2 linked regions of the Rattus norvegicus genome follow. The protein of the gene in region 1 binds, or shares a complex with, the protein of each later gene. Links are inferred from orthologs where the notes say so. Each region holds a gene or a part of one and is shown in the gene's direction. Other genes may lie near its edges.

Region 1 (5,517 bases):
CTGCTTACAGCCATCACGGTGCGGCGCCATGAAAACCGAACCCCCTCCCCCGTGGGGGGGACTTTGAGTGCTCTTCTAGTTTTCCTCTTTCTTTATCAATTCTCTCTGGTACGGCCATTAACACCAAAGATCTCACCCAGGCAAACAACCCTCGCCTCCCCTCAAAGCGTCAAGTAGCGGTTTGCTATTCTCTCACCTGACCAAGAATCCCGCCGTGGAAGCCTCCCCTCCGCTCCCGCTCAGTCTACTGTCCCTCAACTCTCCATTTCCCGCCACAATACTGGGTTATTTTTTTGTTACGAGTGTTTTGAAGATTAGCGATTCTGAAGAGAAGAGGCTAGGGTTCGCTGTGACTCTGAAGAGAAAATTTCTCCTCAGCCAACAGGTACCCAGATTCACCACAGCTAACACCTTCCTCTGCAGCCGCATAAAAGACAACTACCTTCTGGGGAGACGAGGACCTAAAGATGAAGCGCAGCTAACGCTATCGCAGCCATTCCGCACATCCCTTCCACCTCGAGCTACTTTTCCCGCCACCAGGAGAAGGCGCGAAGACACGGACAAATCCCGCCCCCAAGCGGCGTGCGCTCACAGACGTAGTGCGCATGCGCCGAGGGAAGCCGCTTTTGCGTCTGAGCAGCTGGAGTAGCTCGCCATCTTCCGAGTGAAAGCCTAGTGAAACTACAAGTCCCATAATCCACGCCGGCGCCTTTATTCCCCCCCCCCCCCATAAGCTGCAGCGGAGCACCTGAGGCACTTCGTTCTTGTCTCTGCCTAAAATCTCCTTCTCCTTCCTGTTTCCATGTTATGACCCCTATCTTTTAGTTTCCGTCACGCTCTTATATTTTGAGACCATCTTGGGCCCCCCTCTTGCTTCTTTTCTGATAGTCTGCTGACAGGGAAACTCCGCCAGCCATCAGTCTAGGGACTCGGCATGGAATCAGTGCTTCCCATTGGCCGAAGCAGAAGGCCCAAAACAGGTCGATACCCGTTCCCGCCCACATTCGCTTGTGTGTCTAGTGGAGCAAAGCTGCAGCGATAATGCTGTAAAATCCACAACGCGAAAGGTGGCATTGACGATAACAACAACGCCACCCTTCGCGCTGGGGACTGATGCGCAGGCGCCGCACTGTAGCGGAGGCGTCCGAGGCCTGACGTAGGTGAAGGGAGGAGAGGAAGGCGTGGTTCTCTAGATGTTCCTCGCTGGTGGAAGGGAGGTCGCCTGAACGACCAGGCCGTTTCAGGGGAAGAGGAATTTGTACAGCCTCGATGTTTTAGTGCTTGCTTGTTTTCAATTCGAAGAATATTTTAAACAATGTATTGCATTTAATTGACAACAGTTCTTGAGACAGTGTGCTCGACTCCTTCGCCTACTTTATCATTCCCCCCTCAGGTTCTCCTAAATCCTTCTAATTCTAATGAGATGGGCGGGAAGAAGGAGGGGAAGGACTAGATTGCTCATGAATAATTCATGAGCTTGCCCCTTTCCTGGGAATGCACAACCCTTGGAAACGTGCTGACGCACGCTGCGTGCATCTAACCTAAGGAAACGACGTCATACTCCCCGCCCCTAGGACGGAGGGGGCGGAGCATCATCTCCAGCACGTGTTGCCCCTTCAACCCGCGCAAGCCCAAAAGGACGGTGCGCAGGCGCTCTCTAGGAGGGGCGGGGATGGGGGAGGAAGGAGGCGGGGCAGGGAGGTTGTTGGGTTTAGAGCCGGGCGGAGACCGCGGAGCCTCATTCCTCAGGAACAAGGGTCGGGTGTCAAGGAGACCTTTTCACACCAGCTCCCGTTCCCCGCCTACGGTGGGTGGGATCTCACAGCAGAGACAAAGGATATCAGTAGGGCTTGGACTTAGCAGCGAAGGGAAGTCGGGTGTCCGTGTGGGGCGGTGGGCGTCTCGGGCTGGGGGAGGGTGAGGCTATTAGGGAGGGGGGGCTGTATTTAAACTCTCAGAGCCGTTAAGTTGGTTCGCACTCCCGATGCGCGCGCAGCCTGGGTGGTGGCGGAGCGCGCATGCGTGGGTCCTGGGCGAGCGGAACGCGCGCCCGTCGTGCGCGCTCGCGGCAGAGTGGTAGAGGCGGCGGAGAAAAGGGTGTCAGCGCACGCGCAGTTGGTTCCTCGGCTTGTCCGGGTCTCGCGGGCATCTTGTTTTGGTCTCGCGGGCGAGTGGAGCGCGCTTGGTGTGTTGCGGGAGGGAGGTGGAGGCGCTTGGGCGCGAGGCAGAGCTGCGCGCGCACTCGGGGAAGGAGGGAGTGAGGTGGTCTTAGGAAGGGTTACAGGGGGGCTTCCCCTTGATCTCTTCTCAGTACCCTCGCTTGGGAAGGGGAAATTAAACAGGGAGAGGAGATGATCGAGATGGCGGCGGAGAAGGAGCCCTTTCTGGTGCCAGCCCCACCGCCGCCGCTCAAAGATGAGTCGGGTGGAGGGGGCGGCCCCGAGGTGCGATCGCACCAAGAGGCTGCCTCCGGGGAGCTCCTCGACGGGACAGAACGCGGGCCGGGCCCACGCGCGCACTCGGCCGGGGCCACAGCCAGCGGAGGGGGCGGCCCCCAGGCACAGACGCATGGGGAGCCCCACGGGCGAGCTGCCGCTCCTGCGGACGTGGGGGAGGAGCGCCGGGGAGGGGGCGGGACGGACCTGGGTCCCCCAGCCCCTCCTCGACCTCGCAATGGCTACCAGCCCCACCGACCCCCAGTGGGTGGTGGGGGCAAAAGAAGAAATAGCTGTAACGTGGGGGGAGGGAGCGGTGGAAGCTTCAAACATCCGGCCTTCAAGAGGCGCCGGCGAGTGAATTCGGACTGCGACTCCGTGTTACCATCCAATTTCCTTCTGGGGGGTAATATATTTGATCCACTGAACCTGAATAGCCTCCTGGATGAGGAAGTGAGTCGCGCACTCAATGCGGAGACCCCAAAGTCATCCCCACTTCCGGCCAAGGGGAGAGACCCTGTGGAGATCCTCATCCCAAAAGATATCACTGACCCACTCAGTCTCAACACGTGCACTGATGAAGCCCATGTAGTGCTTGCTTCACCACTCAAGATTGGTCGCAAGCGCCATAGACACCGGGGACCGCACCACCAGCAGCAGCAGGCATCTGGAGGGAATGATAGCCAAGCTGTGCTGCCCACTGACCCTCTCACACCCTCAGTCCATGGGGAGGGTGCTACGCAGCAGCACAGAGGCCAGAACCGAGATGACCCTCAACCCTATGAACTCAACACAGCCATCAACTGCAGGGATGAAGTTGTGTCTCCCCTTCCGTCTGCCCTGCAGGGTTCCTCAGGCTCCCTTTCTGCCCCTCCAGCTGCCTCAGTTACCTCTGCACCCTCTTCCTCCTCCTCCCGACATCGCAAACGTCGCAGGACTTCCAGCAAGTCAGAGGCAGGGGCTAGGGGTGGAAGCCAGGGTTCCAAGGAAAAGGGCAGAGGGAGTGGGGGAGGCCGTCACCACCACCCACTACCTGCAACTGGCTTCAAAAAGCAACAGCTCAAGTTCCAGTATGGGAATTACTGCAAGTACTATGGCTATCGCAATCCTTCCTGTGAGGACATGCGCCTTAGGGTATTGAAGCCTGAGTGGTTTCAAGGCCGGGACGTCCTAGATCTGGGCTGCAACGTTGGCCATCTGACCCTAAGTATTGCCTGCAAGTGGGGCCCAGCCCGCATGGTGGGGCTGGACATTGATCCACGACTTATCCACTCTGCCCGCCAAAATATCCGACACTACCTGTCCGAGGAGCTTCGTCTCCAAGCTCAGACTTCTGAGGGGGACCCAGGGACAGAGGGGGAGGAAGGGACTACCACTGTCCGAAAAAGGAGCTGCTTCCCAGCCTCACTGACAGCCAGCCGGGGTCCCATCGCTGCACCCCATTTGCCCTTGGATGGAGCGGACACATCTGTCTTCCCCAACAATGTCGTCTTCGTCACGGTAAGAGTCCAGAGGCTCTTGGAATAGGGTCCCAATGTGAAGATGAGATTAAGTAGGGATGTGTTGGGGGGGATGGCCATATCCATGCATCTGTTCCTTCATACAAGAACCATCTCCCGGAGAGAACAGTCTGGATTGGCCAGAGAATCTCTGCTGGGTGTGTTATCTCTGCTCCTATAACGTGGAAAGTGGGATCTCTACCTTCAGGCTCTAACATCTGGTCTTTTCTCATGACTACAAACAAGGATCTCATCCCTAACATAGGGGGCTGACTTGTTCTGCTTCCAACTGGGACTAAAATCCAAACAATCCGCTTCCCTTGAGGGTAACCTCTCCTGTTGAGTCCAGATGGAACCTTGTCCTCAAATCTCCTGAGGGAGCCTGAAGTTGGGTGTCTGGGGGAGGGGAAACACTCCAATATGTGTAGTTTGGGACTTTGATAGGGACTTTATTTGCCTTTTTTCCCCAGATGCAGCACAGACTGCTGAAATTACTGGTCAGGAACTCATGGGCTTGTCTTCCCATGCTGACTGAACAATGAGAAGGGGCAGTGAAGGCAGGGCTCTACATGGAGCGAGTGCCCAGCCTGACATCATGCTAGTTCCCTCCATTACACAGTTGTTAGGCCATCCAGGGGAACTTTTGCCAGTGGCTTGGCCTGGGAAATGTCTCCCCAGGAATGGTGATGAGTTTACCTTCTTTAAAAAGAGATTTCTTAAGGTTATTTCCTTAGAGAAAGAACAGACCTGAAACACAGCTTAAGAGTCTCTGTCTTTAAAACAGTGCATGGCCTTTGTATGTGAGGTCTCCTGGGTAAGGGTTTTGGGAACACTGTAATTTCTCCAGTTAACCATTAGATAAATTAGCTCAATTTAAACCTAACCAGGCTCCCCTTTAAGTTTGTTTGGTTTAGCACCAGGAGCTTAAAAGGGAGAAGAGAACATGGGGCTAAAAGAGGGTGCTGTTGGGAAGAGCCTCAGGAAGCCACAGGGCTGAAGTGAGGTTCTCAGTCCTCAGGTGGTTGTGGGGCCAGCAGTGCTTCTCATCCCTCTTTTTGACATCTTCCCCTCTTCTGGCCCACAGGGTAACTATGTCCTGGACAGAGATGAGCTGGTGGATGCCCAAAGACCTGAGTATGATGTGGTGCTCTGCTTCAGCCTCACCAAGTGGGTGCACCTGAACTGGGGTGATGAGGGGCTGAAGAGAATGTTCCGCCGGATCTACCGGCATCTGCGACCTGGGGGCATTCTGGTCCTGGAGCCCCAACCGTGGTCGTCCTACTGCAGGAGAAAGTCTCTCACAGTGAGTTGGGTTTCTGTGGAGAGAGGGAATAATCACCTTTTTATTTTTACGGAGGACTGAGCCCCTTACCTCACACGTGGCAGGGATAACCTACCCTCTACCAGTGAGCTACAGCCCCAGTCCTTATTATTCAAGACTGTTTTTGTGTGTAGCCTTGGCTGTCCTGAAGCTTACTCTGGACCAGGCTCTCTTAAACTTAGAGACCCATCTGCCTCTGCCTCCTATGGACTGGAATTAAAGACTTGGACTGACAATAACCGGCCCCTTTTTATTTGGGGCT
Region 2 (4,117 bases), on another chromosome or scaffold:
GAAAACATGGTAACAATACAGAATGTAGCTTAATAACCTGACAGTAAGCAAATGCTGTGCAAGCATGGAGGCCTGGACTCAGTCCCAAGCACACAAAGGAGAATTTGGTAATGCAACAGTTGAAAGTCCTGTTGTAATTACTTAGTTGTTCTGAAACAAAAACTGAGCTCTGTTGCTGTCACTGATTACCAGATTAATTTGTCATTATATGGGTTTTTAATTAGGATATTAGCCTGACTTTATAATGGATAAATTGTAAATGCCTTTTGAACTGTGGTACTCTAAACTATCTGAAAAACTGATTATAAAACTCTCACCACGAATAGGAAACCCATTACAGTTTCATCAACTCAGTGCAGACTGGTCTCTTGCTGTGTCTTACGTAGTAATGATTAACTGGGTAACAACATTGGAAGGCTCTCAGGTCTCATTCTCTCTCTCTCTCTCTCTCTTTTTTTTTTTCCTTGATTGATGAAGGAAACATTTTTCAGTATGGAAGTTCCTGTCTTACAGAGCATGTGTTAAGGGTGAGCTTCTGTCTTCTAGGCCTGCAGTTCTCTTGTCCGTCACAGTTAAAGGATACACTCTTTTATCCTACAATAGCTAAAGTCTCAATTTTTTTTCTAAAACATTTTAAAAGAATTTGAGTTATTGTGCCTAGAAAATTCTATTCTATACTAAACAGTTTCTTTATTTCTTTAGTTTTAATGAGTGACATTTAACAATAAGATTACTGTAACATTCCTGCATAAATGCAGTGTGTTCTGTGGAGAACCTGGTGTGAGGAAAAAAACTTGATTAAGAATGCAGGAATCTCCTTAATTAGAGCTCACAGCAGGTGTTATAGGTAAAACTCTTCCTTGCTGGGTGACCTCAGCTTGCTTAGAAAAGGTTACTAAGGTATTTTATCTAAAACTGAGAGCTGTTGGGCTGTGTTCCAGTAAACCTCCCCAAGAGCCTTCAGTTTCTGTCCGTTATTGTACAATGTTGAGAGCTGGTTCTCTGTGTTCATTCACACGTGGTGTTGTGTAGGTGAGTGCGACTCAGCTTCTCCAAGCCTCTCCTCCTTGTATTTTCCTCTTCTTCGTACTAACCTCCTTCCAGCTTGCTGAGCGATGGGCCATTTCTGTTCAACTGTACAAGAGTTCCCTCAGCTGATCCCCTTGTCAGTTCATATTTTAAAGTCACATTCAAGAGGATGAGCTACAGTAATTTGCCATACGTTGTTAAATTGCTTCTCATTTATGTGTAAATGTATTTGAAGAGTAGTTCTGTATATTTTAGAAATATTTTATATATTTACCCATCAACTAGAGAGTAGCTTGATAGAATGCATTTTGTAACCTCTGGTTACATTCGTTTATTGTCAGACATTGTTAAGGTGATTTTTAAGTTTTCATGTTTCTTTCCTGTATAGGATATTTTGGCCACAATCTCAGAAGTTGTTTACATTGATTTGCTAGAAGGAGATACTGAATGCCATGCCCGATTCAAAACCCCAGAGGATGCTCAGGCAGTAATGAATGCACAGACTGAAATTAAAAAGAAGCACAGTTGGAACCTCGAGATCCTTTCTGGTAAAACCCAATTGTGTTTCTGGTGAACACTTATTATTGTAGGGGATTCTTTTACTTGTTCTGCACTGGGCTAATGAACCTCTTCCCCCAAACACTCGAGCTGGTGGTCAGAGCTTTTGCTTCTTTTTAAGGTGATCATGAGCAGAGGTACTGGCAGAAGATTTTGGTAGATAGACAAGCCAAACTTAATCAACCTCGGGAAAAGAAAAGAGGCACAGAAAAGGTAAGGAGTCGTATGCATCTTCTGATGGTAATAAATGAGGATGAGTTCACTTGTATTTCCTCTTAGAGAGTACTGCTTCAGACTGAAAAAGAATGCAGATTTCTCCTGCTTTTGGAGTAGATGGAGTTAAGATGCTTTCTCACAAGGATCCATAACTGTGATTGCATTTTAAGTGGACCCAGTCCTGATTCAGAGCTGCTAGGCTTTGTAGGTTGCGGATAAGTGCCTGTAGAAAGATTTTCTTCTGTACAGGCTTGACACATGTGAAGTTTCTGATGGCCACGTTTTTTATGATAAGTGGCACCAGCAAACTGAAATAATTAAAACAAACTGATTCATTCAACAGTTTTATTTCTATGATAATTAATGTAATATGTTGCTCACTGAGAATGACATTTATTCTATGAAAGCAGATGATTGTTCTTTTAAATATTGTTGTAGTAGAAGGGCTTAGAATAGACTGTTAAGAACTTTGAAAGCCATGGTGCAGATTTCCTATGCATATTGGCTTGGTGTGTTTTTTCATTTTCCTCCTTTGGCATTGATGATGATTGACAGGACACTTGCCACTGTTAGGTTTTGTCAAGTTTTTTTCTTGAGTGGAGACAGGGAGGCCTCCTTCCTTGAGGCTCTTTCTTCTTGAAGGTGTGAATTTCAAAACTAGTTCAGATGGCAATGTAGTAATCCAGAACAGATAGGTAATATTTATTCTGCTAATTAGTGTGAGGGTTTGTTTGAATTGGCTATATTTTTTTGAACTAGTCATTAAAACATTTTATTTTTAATCTTAAAACCTTTTTATTTTATGTATATGTGTACACTGTCACTGTTCTGGTGTGTCCAGAAGAGGGCATCAGATCCCATTACAAATGAGCCACCATGTGGTTGCAAGGAGTTGAACTCAGGACCTCTGGAAGAACAGTCAGTGCTCTTAACCATTTCTCCAGCCCTATTTTTAATTTTTAAATTCTTTATTAATCACTTTAGTCTCAAGCAAAGAAGTGCTTTACCTAGCATTTTGTAAAGTTAAACTGGGATAACAACAAAGCAGTTACTCTTTATGAGTTAACATGCTTCATTATCAGGGATGTTGGCGTGATCTAGATAGGAACAACTGAAGCTAGCTGCCTTCACAGTTTGAAATTCAATGGAGCTGCCACCCAGCTAGAAGAAAGGGAACCACAGCTAACCATTTGCTAATCTCACTTGTTTTCTGGTGCTGGAGATTGAACTCAGCTCCCTGAGGGTGTTAAGGAGTGCTTCCTCTACCTCTGGACTACCTGCCACAGCTGATGCTCTCTGTGCTCCTGCAAACAGAGCAGTAGGCGTGGATAACGCATTCCTGTTCTCCCTTAGCTTGCTTCTAAGCAGTGCCAGTGTGGCACAGAAGATTAAACCAGGCCGCTGTCAGATCCACTTAAAAATTCAGAAGTGCAACATTTTAGGCTAAAGTAATGGGAATTATTAAGTACATAGAGAACAATGACAAAATTTCAGTGATTATGACATAATTCCTTCCTTATATGACAGCTCATTGATTCCATGAGTTAAGGACAAAAAAAAAAAGAAAACAAACAAACAAAAAAACGCAAGCAGATCAACAGAAAGTGTGTTTACTCTCTGCACAGATGTTTGCATATGGCAATCAGGCAAATGTAAATGAACTCAGGATTACGAACATAGGAAACTATGACTTGATTTTCTGCCCCAGGTCTTGGTGGGATGTGCTTTAATTTTCACTTCTTGGAAGCCAGGAATCAGCCAAGGCTCAAGGCTTTGCGGTGCTGGGTGAGGGTTTTTTTATTTCTTCACTTCAGCTGTTTAAATATTCTTTAATACTTTTAATTAATTATTTTTACATTTCATGTAGATGTGCCTGTGCCACAGCATGGAAGTTAAAGGGCAGCTTCTCCTCTTGTCATGTGGGTCCCAAGGATGGAACTCCTGTTGTCAGGCTTTGAAGGAAGTGCCCTATCCCAGAGGCATCTCCCACATTTTTTAGATGTTTGACTTTGTTTTTAATCAAAATGGACTTTTATTGGAATTACTGCTGGATATTACCCAGCTAAAGACAGAATTCCTGTTTGGAAACACATCATTAGTGTGTTAGGCTAGCCAGAATTTTTATTCTTGCCATTTGTAAACAGTGTTTTAATTGAATCCTGTTATGGCCTCCTATCAACAGGTATGACATTAGATTTGATTAATGGATTGAGTGATTGAGACAGGGTTCCTGGCATCACACACTGACCTCAAGCTCACTCAAGCCGAGAAAAGCCTTGCACTTCTGATCCCCTAAAACTAAGCTATAACTTTT

Evidence for each region. Proteins that work in one complex are often made in the same cells at the same time.
Region 2: Mepce (region 1) and Larp7 share a complex: the UniProt entries of both Homo sapiens proteins name them as parts of the 7SK RNP complex. The link is inferred for Rattus norvegicus from reciprocal best matches to the Homo sapiens genes MEPCE and LARP7.

Annotation. Positions count from the first base shown.
Region 1 is NC_086030.1:24,546,836-24,552,352, forward strand, and holds the start of Mepce (7SK snRNA methylphosphate capping enzyme), read left to right. Parts: upstream 1-1,760; 5' UTR 1,761-2,351; coding exon 2,352-3,935; intron 3,936-5,018; coding exon 5,019-5,237; intron 5,238-5,517. UniProt on the Homo sapiens protein: S-adenosyl-L-methionine-dependent methyltransferase that adds a methylphosphate cap at the 5'-end of 7SK snRNA (7SK RNA), leading to stabilize it.
Region 2 is NC_086020.1:218,673,917-218,678,033, reverse strand, and holds part of Larp7 (la-related protein 7), read left to right. Parts: intron 1-1,417; coding exon 1,418-1,577; intron 1,578-1,708; coding exon 1,709-1,800; intron 1,801-4,117. UniProt on the Homo sapiens protein: RNA-binding protein that specifically binds distinct small nuclear RNA (snRNAs) and regulates their processing and function.